Xenopus tropicalis: one gene and its partner. The protein of the gene in region 1 interacts with the protein of each later gene in a pairwise test. Links are inferred from orthologs where the notes say so. Each region holds a gene or a part of one and is shown on either strand. Other genes may lie near its edges. The genes, in order: c5orf22 and elof1.

Region 1 (3,821 bases):
AATCTTAAACTGAGGGAGCTTCTAGGGTTGTTTACTTAGGTATGGTAAAGCTTTCTGCAGAATAAATATAGCTTTCCAGCTTGCACTAATGCTAATCTATTGGCAGTAAAATGGCAAAATGCCTTTCCTTCTTCTTTAAGCTACTAAGAAATGATCTCCTGTTTAAATAAAGCATGCATTGTTTTTCCATATATTGCATTATATTCAAGCCAGCCAATTATGTCAAAGACATCCGCAATCTGGTCAGTTCCATACTGATTTTCATCTGATTCATTAAAAATTCTACTGCTTCATTATACATTTTTTACATGGACTGCGTTTTACCTGCAGCTTACAAGGTTAAAATTCCTAAATAGATGCCCCCCCTTTTTTTTTTGCCCACCACAAGGATCACCTGGCTGTAGCTAGGAAAGGTGGGAGCTGGCCACTGGTATCACCTCGCTGTAGGTGGGAAGGGTGGGAGCTACAGCAGCTAATTTCTTGTTCTATAGGGCAATTGTGCGAGAAGCAGAAACTATAAATTTGGTTTAAATGTTTTTCTCCTCCTCAAGTGTCACAATGAGCAGCGAACAATCTCACCGCCTACGAAAATACAACAATCTACCAGTCTGGGTCGTAGAGGATCACCATGATGTACGTAGAATGGCAGGTACAGTTAATGTATGAGTGCACGCAAAGGACATTCTAGATGTCCTGGGTGTAAAGTATCTATTGGACAAAATTACATACATACATATTACATACTTTGACTGCCAGTATTGTATACATTTGCATAATCATCCTACGATCTACTGCAGTAGAATTTACCCACAGAAGCTCCTGAGTGGTTGCATTGTTTATCCTTGAAGAAGAAGTAAACTCTAAACAACCCCCAGAATAACATACCTTAGTGCTTTTGTTCATGGCTGATAGAGAAGAAGCTTTCTGGGAGTGCACAGTGAGTCAGGCAGTTATGAATGGGCACAGGAAAAAAAGCTGCTGCAGTACACTGGCTCCTATTCTCTGCATTCCCAGAAAGCTGCTTTTCTGTCAGCCATGCCCAGAAGGCTCTCCTCTTTGACTGTCCTGTAGTCAGACATGAGGAGAGCTGAACAGGAAGAAGGGTGGGGCTTCACTGTACCAGGAAGAAGGAAAGGAACTGGAAGTTTCAACTTATAAATCAGAAACCAGATCAGACTAAATGTAGGGACTAAGTAAGGTATGTTATTCTGAGGGGTTTTTAGAGTTATTTTAAAGATAGGTGAAAAAAAGGTTTAGTTCTTCTTTAAGGTCTAGTACATGTAACACAAGTTTAGGTGATATAATATAAAATATAAGTACATTTTATTTGTTGTAATTTAGCTAATTTGTGACTTCTTATTTTATCCACTGGAATATACAAAGTAAATATGGAAAAGGGTGTTAAAATCAATCCAGCTAATTTTAAGTTGCATGTACACCAGAGTGACAGCTAGCTGGTACATGACTTTGATCAGAACAATCATATACAGTTTAGATCAGTGTCTGCAGAAAATCTCCCTTTTTAAGAATGGTTTAATTTGTGTTGAACATACATATTGTGCATTGTTTTAATATTAAAATGTTTTTTTATTCCTTGCCCTGCTGTCCTCACTACGTGTTACCCTGAGCTTGTGTGTAGTTTGACATGCAGCTAAACTCCTTCCTTCATCAATTAACTGAGACATACTGTTGAGCTTCAACTTAAGTAACAAAGGAAAGGTGTAAAACTAGCGGAAACGGAAAAATGACAGTGCTTAGTACACAGCACAATATAAAATACTGCATAGTGCATTAAACACTGTAAAGTATGAATAAACACTAATATGTAGAAACATATAAAAGGTGAGAGGCATCTGAGTGAGAGTAAGGCCTAGATGCCCGGGAATTACTGATAGCAGTACCATGAGGTGACTGCACATAAGTCATAAACCTGAATAAAGGCACAAGCCATGTAACTGATCAGAACCAATATGCTGCTTAAAATATGCTATTTATTTAAGAATTTAATTCATCATAGGGCATTTTAAGCCCTAAGTGTTTCATGCCTATACAGGACACTTTATCATATAAATTAATCATTAATTACATCAGTCCGGTTTTGTTGCCAGCCTGTTTGTCAAGATGAAGAACCATTTCCCAGCCATAAATTCTGGGATTTGGCGTTTACAGAGAATCTGTGCACCACCTGTATAAAAACAGAGGACACTTTAAAGGAGAAGGAAAGGCAAAGTCACTTGGGGGTGCCAAAATGTTAGGCACCCCCAAGTGACTTAAATCGCTTACCTGGTACCCCAGGCTGGTGCCCCTGTTAGGAGAAATCAGCACCAGCCCAGGGTACCTTGAGCGATCGCTTCCTTCTTCCTCTTTCTTCTGCCAGCAAAATCCCTGGGCCGCCACATACGCAGTAGAGCGAAAAGCTAACTTTGTTGTTAAAGTTCGGCTTATCACTCTACTGCGCATGCACTCGCGCACAAAACAGGAAGAAGGAAGCGCTCGCTGCTACCCCGGGCTGGTGCTTTTCTCACCTAACAGGGGCACCAGCCCGGGGTACAAGGTAAGCGATTTAAGTCACTTGGGGGTGCCTAACATTTTGGCACCCCCAAGTGACTTTGCCTTTCTTTCTCCTTTAAGAACAGACCTTTAAGTCCTATAATTCATCAGTTTACAATGGAACATGGGAAAGCAGGGGCTGGATCAAGCTGTGAGGCTAAGCAGGTGGGGGGGGTGGGGTATGGTCCCTTCAATACATTATTATTGTTTCCTTAAAATCTGTGGGATCAGGCATGTCTGTGTAAAACAAAATTCATTTATATTTATAGTGTTTATGCACCTTTTTTTTTACAAAAGTCCAAGTGTCCAACGGAATTAGCTTACAGGGTAAAGTAAATGTTCCCTTTTAAGTCATCATCGAGATGATGTTGACACTTTTTTTAAAAAAAAGAAAAAAAAAACCACTAAACTCTGAGGTGTACCTTTCTGGAAACTAAATGTGTTTTAAAACAAAGCTTGAGCTGTTGGTTCCATCCTAGTATTACACCCACTTGCCAAGTCTCACTGCACAAGTAAATTGGTTGCAAGACTTATTTATTTATTTATTTGTTGTGTTTTCCATTTCCAGGTGTTCTCAGTTTTAACCAGCTCCACTACTTACGGCATAAACTAGAACCTAAACTGTTCTGCCTACTGTTTTCACAGTTAAAAAAAGAAATACATCATTACTTTTACCTCCTGCTGCCTATCCCTTTCTAACAAACTAAATCATAGTTTTCCATTCTATATAATAGCACCATTGTTTAAATTGTTACCTCCAGAGTTATCCATTGGTTTTACCCTCCAACCCTACTGAGTTAATCTTGTGGAAGCGTTAATGATTCTCCTTTGCTAGAAACCCTCCCTATGTATATCATACAGGGAGCAGTGATTTTGCAGCAGGAGGGTTTGAAACTAGAGCAGAAACAACAATAAATGGAATCAGCCTGAAAGTGCACTTTTTACATTATGTTTTCTCTCTGCAGGTCCTGCCCTTTATTTATCGAGCTATAGGGTCAAAACACCTGCCTGTCAGCAACATTAGCTTCATTCACTTTGATTCCCATCCAGATCTCCTGATACCAGTGAACATGCCTGCAGATACTGTGTTTGACAAGGAATCCTTGTTTAGGTAATGCTTTGAAATTATTTTCTTAAAATCTTTGCTTTTATTTGCCTTGTTCTACTTAATAGATCTTTTCAGTTCAGCAGATAAAACGTGAGCAAATTGTTTGAAAATATGTTTATTTGTTTTTTGGCTTGCTCTGTTGTGGGCTATATTTCCTTGAGAA
Region 2 (3,921 bases), on another chromosome or scaffold:
GCCCCCAATAAGGGGTAATTATATCTTAGTTGGGATCAAGTACAGGTACTGTTTTATTATTACAGAGAAAAGGGAATCATTTAACCATTAAATAAACCCAATAGGGCTGTTCTGCCCCCAATAAGGGGTAATTATATCTTAGTTGGGATCAAGTACAGGTACTGTTTTATTATTACAGAGAAAAGGGAATCATTTAACCATTAAATAAACCCAATAGGGCTGTTCTGCCCCAATAAGGGGTAATTATATCTTAGTTGGGATCAAGTACAGGTACTGTTTTATTACTACAGAGAAAATGGAATCCGTTTTAAAATTCTGTATTATTTGATTAAAATGGAGTCTATGGGAGACGGGCTTTCCGTAATTTGGAGCTTTCTGGTTATCGGGTTTCCGGATAAGGGATCCCAACCTAGCCCAGTCTGAGTGCCCTTAGGTAAATAAGCAGCCACATTACTATAAACCCAAGTCAAGGCGCTTTACTGTATTCAGTCAAAAAATGAGTGCAATTCAGCTGTCTTTAGTACTTGCGTCTCTTACTTTTTTATATAATAGTGTATTTTTAATGGTTGCCATTGGGAGGTGTGTTTTAGTGGAATTAGCTAAAATAACTAGTCAATTAAAACCAGCAAGGTAAACAATACAAGGACAACTTTTTATTCAAACGCAAATGATGCAACCCCACAGCAATGTGTACTAAGGCGGGCATTACGTTTCAGTAAACAACCAATAGGATACAGCGAGGCTTTCCCTCGTGTTCTAGGCCTCGCTTAGCAACCAGCACGCCCCCTAGCAACCCGTACCTGAGGTGACGCTGCAAATATCCGTCCAATCGGAGCTAGGATAATCTCCCAGCCTGATCCAATCGCTTACCGCGTAACGATTGGCATGGCCGTGCCGCCAACCATCGTCGCAGCTGTTAAACACGAAGAACCAATTAGAGCGCTCAGGAGGCGGGCGCAATGGCTGCTCCGGATCCGCTGATTGGAGGCCGCTGTGGTCACCGGAAGTTGGAAAGTTAGGAGGAGGATAAGCATTGAGGCGCAGTGAGAAGAAGATTGCGGATTACCAGGCGGGAAATAGGTAGATAGAAATCTCCGATACGGTATTATACGCGTTAGAGTTCGATTGAACCGCGCTTGTGTGAAGCTGCCCTTGTCCTTCCCCTGTGCGGCTGCCATTACACGCATGTAGCTGTGTTTATTTGCCCACGTCGGCGCCACGTTAGTGACTAGAGCTGCGTGTCTGTGGAGCGTTATACCCAGCAGGCTTTCACAGTTGCGTGGGGCATGCTGGGAGATGTAGTCCAACAATTAGCGAAGGGAATCTCAGAGGCAGCTGTTGGTGTTTATGTGCGGGGCTTATATCTCCATCGCTGATTCGCCTTTCTCTCAGGGAGGCGTTGGGTAGTTGCAGTTTGCCCTTAGGATCAGGTCGCCATCAATATTTGCTTAAAAGCCCCACACAACACAGAAACCCCTAATATACCTTTTAACTGTAATCTGTTCCTTCAAACAGTAGGAATAAATCCCATTTATAGGCTGAAATCCAGCTGCAAAACAGCTCTTCTCTTTCTGCATCATTTGAAATCCCGGCAGGGGAGGAGGGACTAAAACACTGATGTTACAGATTGTAACAGCTTCACAGCTTACAGACAGCATGCAGGGACTACATAACCCACAATGCATTGCACTGGGATGTTCCTTTCCTTATTGAAGTCACGTGTGCTGCTAGAGCTGGGCGGTATGACCAAAAATTTATATCACGGTATTTTTCAAAATTATATCGGTGTCACGGTATTTGACGGTATTTTTTTTTTTCCATGCATGATTAGGTGTTAACCCCGTTTCCTAATAAATTAGAGAATAATTACTGCAGTATTGAAAATCAGAGTCAGGCAAGCGAAGGATCGGCAACAGAAAGTCGTAAGGTAAATCAGGCAGGCTTAGTTCCCAGGCAAGGCCGCAGACAACATAGCGCAGGAGGAGGTGTTTGATAGCTTTAAATACCCCCCACGCATGCGCAGAACCGGCGCCGTCAGCGCGTCATGGACGTGCACGCTTTGACGCGCGTGTGTGTGTGTGCGCGCAACATCCCACGGACAACGGGGCGCGTGTAGGGGCGCTTCTGCCATTAGGCGAGTTGAGAAACTCACATCAGGCGGCAGAAGCACCCCAGTTACCAGGGGCGGCAAAAAGCCGCTCGCGCGAGACCGGGCCGCACGGGTGAGTGCCCTTACACACCGGTATTGCGGTATCTGAAAAATGAATATAGTTTAAAAAAAAAAACACTGGTATTCGGTATTAAACGGTATATCGCCCAGCCCTATGTGCTGCAGTGGATTGTGGGATTGGAGGATGCAGGCTGAAGGCAGGCCGAGGACAGGCGACTACTGTTACATTTTATTTGAGTCACAAAGTAGTCATCCAGATCAGCAGGGGGTGGGGCCACAGAAGCCCCCACACACGGGGCAATAAGCTGCCAATTCGGTCAGTGTATGGCCAGCTTCAGGAGCAAAATGCCCTACTGATGCTAATCTGGCAGCCATTGTTGTTTGTCTGTATATATAATATATAGAGAATATAGTCTCTTCTCTAATGCTAAAGTCTTTAAGGGTATTGTTTTGCAAGTTAATACACTGGATCTGATTAACCAGCCTGCACTGAGGGATGATGGGATTTGGAAAACTGGATGGGGGTGGCCATATCAATTTATTTTAGGATAAAGCAGGTTTAAGCAGATGCTAAGCTTTATATACACAGCTACTGCAGTTGTAATGCCCCTGCTTGCACATGAGAAACAATCGCCTAGCAGGTCTGGAAATGTCTTGTGTTTATGGGAATTTTGGGGGCAATGTGGGCATATGTTACCATTTTGGTCTCTTGCCTGATGCCTTTTTTTTTAGCCCATACAGCTGGCTCCAAAATGCCTTCTGTGTGGAGACAATGATTTCACACAACTGCTGCCCGACAAGCAATATCATAAGATTCACATAGAGGTCAGGGGAGGCATTTTGGCCCCTCCTCCAAGTGGGCAAGGCAGCCAAGTTGTCCCTGTGGGAATGTTTACAAAAATGTTTACCTGCTAAAATGTTTTTTTTTGTTTGTTTTTTTAGCTTTGATTCATACGTAGAATCCAGAGGCAGAGATGGGACGCAGGAAGTCAAAGAGAAAGCCTCCACCCAAGAAGAAGATGACTGGGAACCTTGACACCCAGTTCACATGTCCATTCTGTAACCACGAGAAGTCCTGTGATGTTAAAATGTAAGCAAAGCCGTTTCCACTGGGGTGAGAGTGCACCGTGGGATTGTGGCTTGGTCAGAGCTCACGCTAGGCTTAGCAGAGATACAGAGAGATGGAGTAGCAAGGGGGTGGGGTGTTTAATGGTTTAGTCTGTTGTAAGGGAAAGGGGAAACACCCCTGTGACTTCTGAAGTCCTTCTATAGCCGGTAAATCTGTGTAACACTTGTCTTTCCCCCTTTTCCTTGCACACAGGGATCGATCGCGCAATACGGGTGTCATTTCGTGTACGGTGTGCCTGGAGGAGTTCCAGACTCCAATAACCTGTATCCTATCACTGAGTGTTTGTTGTCACCTCAGCCATAAGGTGGTAGTTAAAAGTGTATTGCAACTAGTGATATTGTAAGATAGTTTGCAGTTGGTCTACTTTGGTTAGTTTTTTTTTTAATTATTTAAAAGACAAGTAAAGCAAAATATTGCTTTTCACTTATTGTGGCATTGGGCTGCTTTTCCACTTCACCGCCTAGACCCCCCAGTGGCCTCAAAGTAGGTGCCATTTTTAAATCTCAAGCTCGGAGCCGAGTTTTGGAAACACAGAGACACCGTTTTATTCCAAGCAGCGTTCTGCAGGCCAGCAGTCTACATGGGGCTACCAAATAGCCGCCCTAGCAGCCCTTATTTAGCT

The links.
Region 2: the proteins of c5orf22 (region 1) and elof1 interact in binary tests that used the Homo sapiens proteins (3 or more experiments, as listed by UniProt). The two-hybrid records come from large-scale screens. The link is inferred for Xenopus tropicalis from reciprocal best matches to the Homo sapiens genes C5orf22 and ELOF1.

What each region holds. Positions count from the first base shown.
Region 1 is NC_030682.2:84,259,555-84,263,375, forward strand, and holds part of c5orf22 (UPF0489 protein C5orf22 homolog), read left to right. Parts: intron 1-551; 5' UTR 552-558; coding exon 559-633; coding exon of another isoform or gene 634-649; intron 650-3,515; coding exon 3,516-3,661; intron 3,662-3,821.
Region 2 is NC_030679.2:139,392,330-139,396,250, reverse strand, and holds the start of elof1 (transcription elongation factor 1 homolog), read left to right. Parts: upstream 1-1,027; 5' UTR 1,028-1,080; intron 1,081-1,674; exon of another isoform or gene 1,675-1,740; intron 1,741-1,831; exon of another isoform or gene 1,832-1,927; intron 1,928-3,112; 5' UTR 3,113-3,144; coding exon 3,145-3,260; intron 3,261-3,491; coding exon 3,492-3,562; intron 3,563-3,921. UniProt on the Homo sapiens protein: Factor involved in transcription-coupled nucleotide excision repair (TC-NER), a mechanism that rapidly removes RNA polymerase II-blocking lesions from the transcribed strand of active genes.